Saccharomyces cerevisiae S288C: one gene and its partners. The main gene of each other region encodes a partner of the protein of the gene in region 2 in a complex. Each region holds a gene or a part of one and is shown on either strand. Other genes may lie near its edges. A codon is read from its position in the direction of its gene.

What was found.
Region 1: the proteins of GCD11 (region 2) and SUI2 are in contact, whole or in part, in a cryo-EM structure (PDB 6I3M), measured with the Saccharomyces cerevisiae proteins. Residues at the interface, in NP_010942.1 of Saccharomyces cerevisiae: Asp322 (codon at 665), Asn324 (codon at 659), Lys325 (codon at 656), Pro326 (codon at 653), Gly327 (codon at 650), Ala328 (codon at 647), Glu329 (codon at 644), Ile330 (codon at 641), Glu331 (codon at 638), Leu333 (codon at 632), Lys334 (codon at 629), Gly335 (codon at 626), Ile359 (codon at 554), Ile373 (codon at 512), Phe374 (codon at 509), Lys401 (codon at 428), Val402 (codon at 425), Asp403 (codon at 422), Pro404 (codon at 419), Thr405 (codon at 416), Leu406 (codon at 413), Arg408 (codon at 407), Arg411 (codon at 398); in NP_012540.3 of Saccharomyces cerevisiae: Val190 (codon at 862), Ser191 (codon at 859), Cys192 (codon at 856), Phe193 (codon at 853), Ser194 (codon at 850), Tyr195 (codon at 847), Gly197 (codon at 841), Ile198 (codon at 838), Ile201 (codon at 829), Lys202 (codon at 826), Leu205 (codon at 817), Lys206 (codon at 814), Glu209 (codon at 805), Asp210 (codon at 802), Val220 (codon at 772), Leu222 (codon at 766), Val223 (codon at 763), Ala224 (codon at 760), Ala225 (codon at 757), Pro226 (codon at 754), Tyr228 (codon at 748).
Region 3: the proteins of GCD11 (region 2) and SUI3 are in contact, whole or in part, in a cryo-EM structure (PDB 6QG0), measured with the Saccharomyces cerevisiae proteins. Residues at the interface, in NP_010942.1 of Saccharomyces cerevisiae: Gln248 (codon at 887), Val251 (codon at 878), Asp252 (codon at 875), Met254 (codon at 869), Arg255 (codon at 866), Glu256 (codon at 863), Ala259 (codon at 854), Leu260 (codon at 851), Gln263 (codon at 842), Leu267 (codon at 830), Ala278 (codon at 797), Ile280 (codon at 791), Val281 (codon at 788), Pro282 (codon at 785), Ile283 (codon at 782), Ser284 (codon at 779), Leu287 (codon at 770), Tyr289 (codon at 764), Asn290 (codon at 761), Asp292 (codon at 755), Ala293 (codon at 752); in NP_015087.1 of Saccharomyces cerevisiae: Val127 (codon at 1,135), Gly128 (codon at 1,132), Tyr131 (codon at 1,123), Ser132 (codon at 1,120), Leu134 (codon at 1,114), Leu135 (codon at 1,111), Arg137 (codon at 1,105), Phe138 (codon at 1,102), Phe139 (codon at 1,099), Ile141 (codon at 1,093), Leu142 (codon at 1,090), Arg143 (codon at 1,087).

The regions. Positions count from the first base shown.
Region 1 is NC_001142.9:449,193-452,448, reverse strand, and holds SUI2 (translation initiation factor eIF2 subunit alpha), read right to left. Parts: upstream 1,430-3,256; coding exon 515-1,429; downstream 1-514. Other genes in the region: MHO1 (Mho1p), read right to left, coding at 1-19; DNA-directed DNA polymerase delta subunit POL31, read right to left, coding at 1,784-3,247. UniProt on the Saccharomyces cerevisiae protein: eIF-2 functions in the early steps of protein synthesis by forming a ternary complex with GTP and initiator tRNA. This complex binds to a 40S ribosomal subunit, followed by mRNA binding to form a 43S pre-initiation complex.
Region 2 is NC_001137.3:203,124-206,878, reverse strand, and holds GCD11 (translation initiation factor eIF2 subunit gamma), read right to left. Parts: upstream 1,629-3,755; coding exon 45-1,628; downstream 1-44. Other genes in the region: carnitine O-acetyltransferase YAT2, read right to left, coding at 1,916-3,755. UniProt on the Saccharomyces cerevisiae protein: As a subunit of eukaryotic initiation factor 2 eIF2, involved in the early steps of protein synthesis.
Region 3 is NC_001148.4:98,847-102,008, reverse strand, and holds SUI3 (translation initiation factor eIF2 subunit beta), read right to left. Parts: upstream 1,514-3,162; coding exon 656-1,513; downstream 1-655. Other genes in the region: putative serine/threonine protein kinase ENV7, read left to right, coding at 1-401; YAR1 (Yar1p), read right to left, coding at 1,923-2,525. UniProt on the Saccharomyces cerevisiae protein: Component of the eIF2 complex that functions in the early steps of protein synthesis by forming a ternary complex with GTP and initiator tRNA.

The DNA of each region.
Region 1 (3,256 bases), on a different chromosome or scaffold from region 2:
TTGCTGGACGTATTGACATGTTTGAAAAATTCTATTCTTTGCACTGTAGTCCACCTAAGCCACCGACTAGGACCACTTCACTTAAGTATCAGTCAGACTTTCCTTTGAAAATATATCAGTGTGTATCCGCATGTTATCTGTTTTGTTGAAAATCACATGAGTGGACGGCCCCTTTGTCTTGTCTTAGTGTTCCCCAATGATTTAAATGCAATTCCGAAGGAAAGGGGGGAGCCTCATATTATTACAGCATCACTACCTTTTGAGGTAAAAATATCTCATGTGAAAAAGATAAATTATAGAGAACCGGCAGGGCATGCTCCACTGACAACCCCGTGGTAACAGAAATTAAATTTTGATTATGATTAAATGGATTGTAATATTTATAATAGCCAAATGTACAAGGTGTATATTGCAAAGAATATGATATGGCAGGATATACGTATTTGTTCTATACAAAATTTTCTAAAACAGTATGACACTTGAAAACACCTAGAAAAATTAGGCGCGGCAATGATTACTCGTCGTCTGACTCATCCTCATCGTCTTCAGAGTCAGATCTATTATCTAATTCTTTGCTTTCTAATAGAGCTTGTAACTCAGCGTCTTCAGTAGCAGTGACAGCCTTTGGTGGCATGGTAATGTTGCAAACACCGCCGTATTTTGTAATAACCTCTGTAATTTTTTCAATAGCGCTTTCCAGTTGTTCAATACCTTTTTGCTTATCCAAGGCTTGGGTGGTCAAAACATATAATGGGGCGGCGACTAATTTAACTTTAACTTGCATTTGTTCTGTGGACATGTCTTCAGCTGATTTTAATGCGTCTTTAATGGCATCGATACCTTCGTAACTAAAACAAGACACTTCAACATCGGCTCTAATCTTTACAGCTTGTGGTGTTAATCTCTTGGAGATATAGTTCTTTAATTCATCTAAAACATCTTTTGATGGCGGTTCAATACCTTCCCAAACAGTTTCGTCAATGATGGATAGTTTGAAAGCTTCGTAAGCGTGACCAAATTTTCGACTTAATGGCCAAGCAATGGTCTTATATAGTTCTTCCAAAGGGATTTGGAATTTTTCGGCACAGTATCTTAAAATGGAATGAACAGTCTTAGATTTTTGGTATTTTTCTTCACATTTAATGATATCTTCAGAAGAAACACGACGTTTGGACAAATCAATATAACCTTTTTCTTTGTCGACACGAAGAACAACGGCGACATCATTTTTACCAACACGAATTAATTTTTGGATTGACCTAATACGTCTACGGGACAATTCACTTAGTAGAATCATACCTTCAATGTTGTCATATTCTAACAATTTAACATAAGCACCCATTTCAGCAATCTGCTGGACGTTAACCATGACGATATCGTCAATTTCTGGGTATTTGTTTTCATAAAATCTGCAATGAGAAGTGGACATTATTTGGTGTATTATAGAAGGTGCGTGAGGCAGCAGAAAAGACACAAAAATATGAAGACAAAAACTGATTAGTAAACAGATTGCACTTTACTCTTTAATGACCTAGGAAATAAACAATGGTTGAAAATTTGTAAATGCGATTTTATACTACTATTTCATCAGATTTGTGCTTTCTCTTCTTCTCTTTTTCGCCTCTTCGAAGAAAAAATTTTTCTCCGACTGCGGGTAAGAAAAAACGCTCATAGTTTTTCTACCAGCTGTGACAAGAAACGTATTTTGAGCTGAACGATGAATGCTCACTTTTACATATAAAACTTAATTGCATATCTATGTGGAAATTATTCCTTGTTTTATTTAAATGTCAATCTTGACCGTCTCTGCTTCTAACGTTTCCAAATCCAGTAATATTATCATCCCAGTAGAACTGAATTCAGGGACAGATATTATCTTTATGTTCTTACCACCTATTTCCACTACTCTTGTTCCAAAATATGGCTGGTTTGCCACAATGTAAACGTGGGGCCACTTATCCAATACAAATGGATCCTTATCAGTGTACGGATAACACCATAAGGTATCAGGTGCGGTGGGCGCGATGTTTTGCCATTTCATTGTACATTCCATAAGGTCCAGGCGATGCTCTATATCGTCTTTGAAATCATTACTCTCGCCCTCCTCGACCTTGTTTTCACTTTCTCCGTTATCATTTGATGGTATTACGTATTTACAAATATCATTGATATTTTTGCCTGAAACGGCTAGAACGTCTACGCCATTATAGCTAAACTCATATGGGTTGGTCACTAAATTCAAAATTTCTTTGTTAGAACCGTTGAAGTATGATTCTAGGGACTTATCAAACAATGATTTGTGGAAAGGCTGTTGCGGTAGAGATTTGTCACTTGGATCATTGGTTCCGGGCATAATATCAACAGATATAGATGGCAAAATGTTGTGTAGAAATTTACTGAACTCAGTTAGAGAAATCATCAATTCGTCTTTGTTCACGCTTTTAATGTCGAAGTCAACAGAGTTGCCGCATATCAGTAATCTACCAATTAGAGAAATGTCGTCAATTTTGTTATTGATTCTCCCCATCAAAAATTCTCTCAAAATCTCCAATCTCAATAGCCTATCAGGTGATGTATTATTGAGGTTTAACCCAGAAACAAGAGCAATTTTTCCCCTGGTGGGGCAGGTAGCAATTGGTGCAGGGAAAGGATTTTGTGGTAAAGGAGTGGGGTAGCATATGTCTAAAACTTGAAATGTCCCGGCTTCAGCTTCCATACCCAGTATACCTACAACAACACCCGTGATGAAGGGTGTAGACCGAATAAAATCTCCCACTAGAAGCACTCTCCCACTTTCATCTTCGAGCATAATTTCATCAGAACCACCCTCTTTATCAGTATAACTTTTAGTTAAATCTGGTGCACCATATGTATCATTGATCACTTCGTCCAGTACGTTTGGTTTATATTTCATCTCGCAATATATGGATCCTACGCACCAACATGGTTGGTTTCCCTGAATATCTAACACTTTGTCCTTTTTTAGAACTAATTGGCCATTCAAGGTAAAGCCCGCATCCCATCTCTTGTCACATTCTTTTAAGACGCGTTCTCTGAAAGTCTTTAGACGGTATTGATAAATGTGGTAGTACTGAGAACCGTAGTCACGTTTTTTATAGCATAGTTGGAATGGATTCGATTTGTTGTAAAGATTGTCGTCAACAATTCTTACTCTCGTTCGTGGTTGGGACAAGTTTTCATCTTGGAGACTTCTATCCTCGTTGAACTTTGTTAACAATGCGTCCATTGCCCTTCA
Region 2 (3,755 bases):
ATTAATTATGAAATTTTTGTCTTTGCAGTGGTTTTATTGGTTCCTTAAGCGATGGGTTCCAATGTAGTACCCTTTTTAATGGTTGCCCAACCAATCAAACGCCAATGCTTTTCGATACGTCTCGACAAAGCAATCTTCTCGTTAATTTCAGTACAAGCGGGCGACGTTAACTGTAATCTTGCCATATCAGCTTTAACGGCAACCACACGAGCCCCCGTAGCGGTAGAACCAATGTTGACCATAAGAACTTCATTTGGCTCTAATTTTCTGACTTTGGCTTGCTTTTGACCATCTGTTTTGACACCTAATAGACGACGTAGCAAAAAGTAGTTGATTTCGATATCAGTATAAATGTTTGGCAAATGACCCTTAGCACCGACGACTTGACCGACAAGACGATCAGCTCTACACAAGGTAGGATCAACTTTAGTACCAACACCAATCAGACCACCGGGAACAGCAAACTTCAAGTCATTTTGTTCGGCAAATAAGGAGACAATGTTAGAAAAGATTGGTTTACATTGAATTTTACCCTTATCATCCTTGGTGACAATACCTGGTCTAATCTCAATTTCATCACCTAATTTGAAAACACCATTCAAAATAGAACCACCGGCAACACCACCTTTCAGGTCCTCGATTTCAGCACCTGGCTTATTAACATCAAATGAACGAATAACAATTAACCTTGGAGAAATCATAAAATCTCTTGGTGGTACGGGAATAGTCTTGACAATAAATTCATTAACTGCGTCGATGTTATACTTCAACTGAGCGGATATTGGTACAATAGGAGCACCGTCAGCAATGGTACCTCTGATGAACTTCAAGATGGATTTTTGGTGTTCTAAGGCACTTTCTTCACGCATTAAATCGACCTTATTCTGTAAGATGATGACGTGCTTTAATTTCATGATTTCAATGGCAGCTAAATGCTCTGAGGTTTGAGGTTGTGGACAAGATTCATTACCTGCAATCAACAGTAACGCAGCATCCATAACAGCAGCACCTGATAACATAGTACTCATTAAGATATCGTGACCGGGACAGTCAACAAAAGAAACGTGACGGACCAATTTGTAACGCCCCGGACAACCTGGTCTTTGACATTTAGGACTGATTTCTTTATCAGATTTGAATGATCTATAACAATCAGGTTCGGGACATGTAGGCTCTTGACATTTATAAATTTTAGCATTAGCGTAACCTAACTTAATAGTAATGTTACGTTCTAATTCATCCTTAAAACGGACTGTTTGGACACCTGAAATAGCCCTAACTACTGTGGATTTACCGTGGGCGACATGACCGATGGTACCGATGTTTATTGTAGCTTGCCTGTTGATAATTTCGGCGGATAGTGGGTTTAATTTTGAAAAATCAGGGTTTAATGGTTGTTCGGGCAAACCACCACCTTCTTCAAATTCCCTTTTCCTTTTTTCTTCTTCAGTTTCCCCGTCTTCTTCCAAGCCAGTGAAGGCGACTTTCTTCTTTGGCTTATCAGCATCTTGTGTTTCTTGTGTTTCTTGAGCTACAACTTCCGTTTCTTCAACGATATCTGGTTCACCAACTGGTTCCAAATTACCGTTGATAATAATGCTAGGTTCTTGGTCTTGTAAGTCACTCATGTCTACCTCTAATGCGCGATGTTAACGGTGTATTACGCTCTTTCCGCCCTCTTTGCTTAGCTCCTGGTACAGGTCGAGATGAAATCTCTGTCTTTTGTACTGATGATCAGCATCGGGCTATTCTATGAAAATTTTTTCAATGGCAAATCTGGTCCGGGTTACTGACATGAGAGCAAATAATAAGCATAAATTAAAGCATATTGATATACTTCATATAACAAGTATATATCACATCACGCCAAGCTTACGCATAATGCTAGTAATAAATAGATAAACAAAGAGCGTTCTTATTGATCTAAGGTCGCCACCTTTCTACCCACACGACTGCGGTCAAAATCAATATCGAATCTTGAGTTGATGACGTTACGTTTCTTGGAATTTAGAGATGTAGCTGAAGATGCCGAAGAGGATGTGCCATCAGCATTGCCAGCAACTATTTCAATATCTGTCTCATCATCTGCTTCCAACCCATTACTTGCCACTTCCCGCGGTTGGATCTGTAAAATTTCATGGCCTGTATTTAATTTTTCCTTTTCTGTGGGAACGGAAACTGCGGAACTTGAATGATCATTGTCTGCGCTCATGGTCAAGCCATTGAAGGTTTTCTGCAAATTCTTCATCGATGGTGTTTTAGATATATTCCTACTGTCAATGTGGCCTTCCAAATCGAAAAACCCGCCATACCTGTTCAAATTTACCTGTGATGAAGAAGATGTTTTGCGGGAGCCATTGACTGTATGGCCGTTACGTTTCGGAGGATTATTGACTGCATTGTCCATTTCATACAATTTATCGACCACTGGACTGATCTTCACGCCAGTTTTATTATGAGAAGTGCCGCGTGACATCCTCCAGTAGGAACGAATTTCGCCTAACACCCAACTTAACATAAACATTAACCTGTCACCCTGTCGAAATTGCGATGTCACGGTCAAATCTACTTGATCATCTTTAATGATGTACCCTATTCCAAAGCCATGAGGTACAGCAGGAGTTATACCAAATGTCGTGGTAGCAGCATTACCACAGTTGGCAACAATCAACTCAGGCTGTGAGAAAGGTAAAACAAGTGGATTTTCGAAAAGATCTTTCGCAGCAGATGATTCATCACCACTTAAGTGGATACCAAAATGGTCATGAAATTTGAAGAGATATTTCAATGCATTGAAGTGTTTTTCATAACCTACCCCAGACTTTGCATGTTTAACCATGTTATTATGTGTTTCGCAGGTTTGGATAAATTTGTCTAATTTATCTGTCCCATCAATGGAGCTAGAAATAAACAATTGACATAGTTCCAACAGCGCTTGACTTTGAATGTTAATAAAAGATGATCTCGAGTTTTTGAAACCACGTGTGGATACTGGTTCTAATCCAAACACCATTCTTCCATACAAAGCATAGTGAGCTATTTGTAAAGCTACTTGAACCATCGAATCGGGCTTGACTCCTAATCTTTGAGCTGACCTTCTGCCCAATGGAATAGAAGCGCGAACAATATCATACTTGGAAATCAGATCAGCTAGTTTGGTTTCTGACAAATGGACATGTGTGTTCAGGATGTTACTGAAAGACCAATCGATTTTATTTACAACCAACTTAGGGTCAATTTCAGAAGGGCCTCCGCCGTCGGCACTTATGGTCGCCGTCATCAGTTTTTTAGTTTCAGGATCCATTTGTGTCACGTTAGGCCAGAGTGAAAACTGTGGGTCACCGGCGTTAACGTCTCTAGCTAATCTCAAGACTGATTCTGTATAAATTTCAGAAGTAAACCGAAGCACGACTGACCCGTCACATGTGAAGGAATCCCAAATCACTGTGGCTTTTGCATCTGCAGTGACAACTAACTGTAATTTATCATACCAACGAGAAACACATGAACCCACTTGATGGCCTTTGCTATTTATTATAGAAGTACCGTAAAACACTCTCTTACAATTGGCGGAAGTACATTTCTTGTCTCGCTCAGTGATAGTCCTGTTAAACATTTGACTGATATCAGCGGTATCATCGCCATCATTGGTAGTTTCTTCTTGTGATTCGTCCAGCACTAACACGAACAGAGCAGAGTCTATGCGATGTAATTCATTAGGATACCTTTTCTGTAGTCTCTTCCTTGCATATTTC
Region 3 (3,162 bases), on a different chromosome or scaffold from region 2:
GTGACCTCGGCTCCTGCTCTCAAGCTGATATAACAATTGAAAACAGACATCAACTCAGCGAACTACAAGAATGGGTCAATGACAATTGTACGTTGCCATATACTCCACCAGAACTTCTGAACTTGAAATTAAATCAGGTTTTGAGCTCTAAGGTTGATATTTGGTCTTTGGGTTGTACGTTCTATACTTTAATGTTCGGTATCTCCCCCTTTGAGCGAGAAGAGCAGATACATGGAGCTTCTTTAACCTACGCTATAAACACTGGTAAGTACAGTTTCCCGAGAAATTCCAGATTTTCTGAGGGGCTTTTGAGTGTAATCAAGAAATGCATTCAAGTGGATCCTATACAAAGGCCTACTACCAGCCAATTATTAAATCTTTTACAAGATTTAGACACTTGATCGGTTTTGCTTCTCAAAGCTTTTTCCTGTCCTTGGGAAGTAAACAGGACACGATGATTGGCTGGCTCCATGCAATGTGTTCACTCTGATCAATGAAGATTACCTACCGCTGTTTAGATTTATTTTGTGAATGAAAATTTTTACTTTAAGTTTTTCTTCATTTAAACATTAAATATCTAATGAAACGAATAAAATACACAAGATAAACGAAATCCGTATTTATTATATATATGCTAACAGGTAAAGCACCAACATCACATTCTCCTTCTCTTACCAACGGTAGCTTGGAAACCGGTTTTAATAGAAGAGACGGATCTGGTAGAACCACAACTTTTACAGACCATAAAGAACAGTCTGTTTGACTGTTCTCTCTTCAATTCGGTGTTAATACTCTTACAAGTTTTACAAGTGACATACTCCAAAATGTATCTTCTTAAGACATTCTCCATTTGTTTGGATTGAAACTTACCCTTAATGACTAATCTTTTCTGACCGTCAACAGAACCGGACGTACCTAATTCTGCGAAGAGATATTGAATCAAATGTTCCGGAGATCTATGCAATTTTTCGGCGATATCTTGGATATTCGAGAAAATAGTCTTCTTACCATCACGCAAACAAACAGGAGGAGGAATTCTGAACTTTGGACCACTTCTATCACCAGCAAGTTCTGGATTGTTAGTTCTTAGAATATTGAAAAATCTAGATAATAACTCTGAATAAGGTAGGCCAACTTCTTGTTGAATGCTGGAATTAGCACTTGGAGTGCCTTCTTTGCTTTCAGCATCCACATTATCTAGACCAGCTTTAGCTAGTTCTTTCTCAAACGCGTCTACACTGCTGTCCTTTGTCTTTTTCTTTTTCTTCTTCAAGGATAGTTCACCCAAGGCTTCTGCTATGTCGTCAGTAGGCTCTTTTTCAGCTTCAGCATCGGCAGAAACGCTCTTGGACTTCTTCTTTTTCTTTTTTAATCCGGCAAATAAATCATCTCCTGAACCATTTTCTTTGCCGTTTACGGCAGCATCAAAATCATCTGGGATCACCTTCTTAGTCTTCTTTTTCTTCTTTAGTGCAGGGTCGAATCCTAACTCAGCAGCTAAATCGGAGGACATCTCGTGCGTGCTTATTATATGACTGGTTGCCTAGGCGCTTTTCGGTTGATGTGCAAGAAGTTTCCTAGTCTCTCTTATAATGTCTTCTTCTACTTTCTTTTTCTTTTTTTCCATCAATTTCACTTTTTCTCGCAATTACAAAATTTTTCACTCCGTCGTTGATGAGGACTCCGGCTCTGCGGGTAATGAAATGGAAAGTTCAATGCATTCAAAATATACGCTTTTGAAGCGGTTACTTAGTTTGTGAGAGAAATATACATTATTACTGTAACTCTTTTCTAAATTTTTTGTATTTATTAATGCATTTCTGCTGGTTCCATCCTTTTATCTTCTCCGGTACCAAGAAATAAAATATCATGCTCAATGGATATTACGGCTTTTATTCCACGAAGAAAACAAGCTCTTTACTTTAGTCTTTATTTATATTCAGTTTCTCGGTTTCTTCTCTTAAAGCCTCGGTGGCTTCCTTGGTGACTTGTTCAATTTCTGTACCCTTTGTGATTTGGACCGAATTCTTGCCCTCAGTTTGTGTGTCTTCTTCATCATCTTCAGGTTCGACATCATACTTCTTCAAAAAGTATGTTTCCACTTCTTCCTTCCCGCTGTTCTCGGCCTCAAAGATAGCATCGTGGCCGAATTTGTTTCTAATAAAGGGGTCTGCCTCATATTCATCACACAGTAGCTTGACCACGTCTAATTTGCCATTCAACGACGCCCAATGTAAAGCCGTGTTGCCTGTTTTGTTCACCTCATTAACAAAAGCTTTCAAGTCTTCGGCACTATTTGCGCGAGAAACCGTCTCCAGTATATACCGAACGGTCTCTATATGACCGTTGGCAGCAGCCATATGTAAAGCCGTAGAATCAGATTCACTTTCCTTACAAGTCGAAAGTAACTCGGGACTGACTAAAGTTGTAAATATATCTTTCAGAGAATCCAAATCGCCAGCTCTTGCATCGAGTATTATGGTGTCTTGGTCCTCTTGATCTAACGGTTCACTGTGTAGGCCCATATCTGCGTATATGTAGATTTTTTTTTTCTATTTGGAAATAATTACTTTCTTTGAGATAGAGCGCGAACAATTTTGCCTATCGTATTACAATTCGTTTTTGTTTTACACAAATGATAATTAACTCATCGATTTTTTCTCAGATTCTCTTTTTCTTTTATTACTTTTCCTTCTTATTCTATGAAAATTTCATATCATCGTTCATGGTGATATTACCACGGTGACATCAAATGGAATTGTCCTATTTTTCTTTTCCTGTAATTAGTGGCGCGGGACTTTTTATTCCTCGTGGCAAAGAATGGCTACTAAGAGGAGAATAAGAGATGGTTAGAAGTATTTGGAAGCTTGATGACAGAATATTTTAAAATATAACTTAGCTTGCGTGTGCGTATTTGTATTCTTCGTGGTTACGATATGAACCAACGTGCAAGCGTGTGATATATCACATTCCGGAGGGTGTCACCCCCCCTCTCTCAACACAGTAATCCATAAACCAGTTTTACATACACGTAAAAAAGAACAGGAATAAAGCTTAATCGGATTATTAACTCATACGCTTGTCACATATTGTTCGAACAATTCTGGTTCTTTCGAGTTTCGCAGAACTTTTTGAATTTTTCTTTTTTTTCTAGAACGCCGT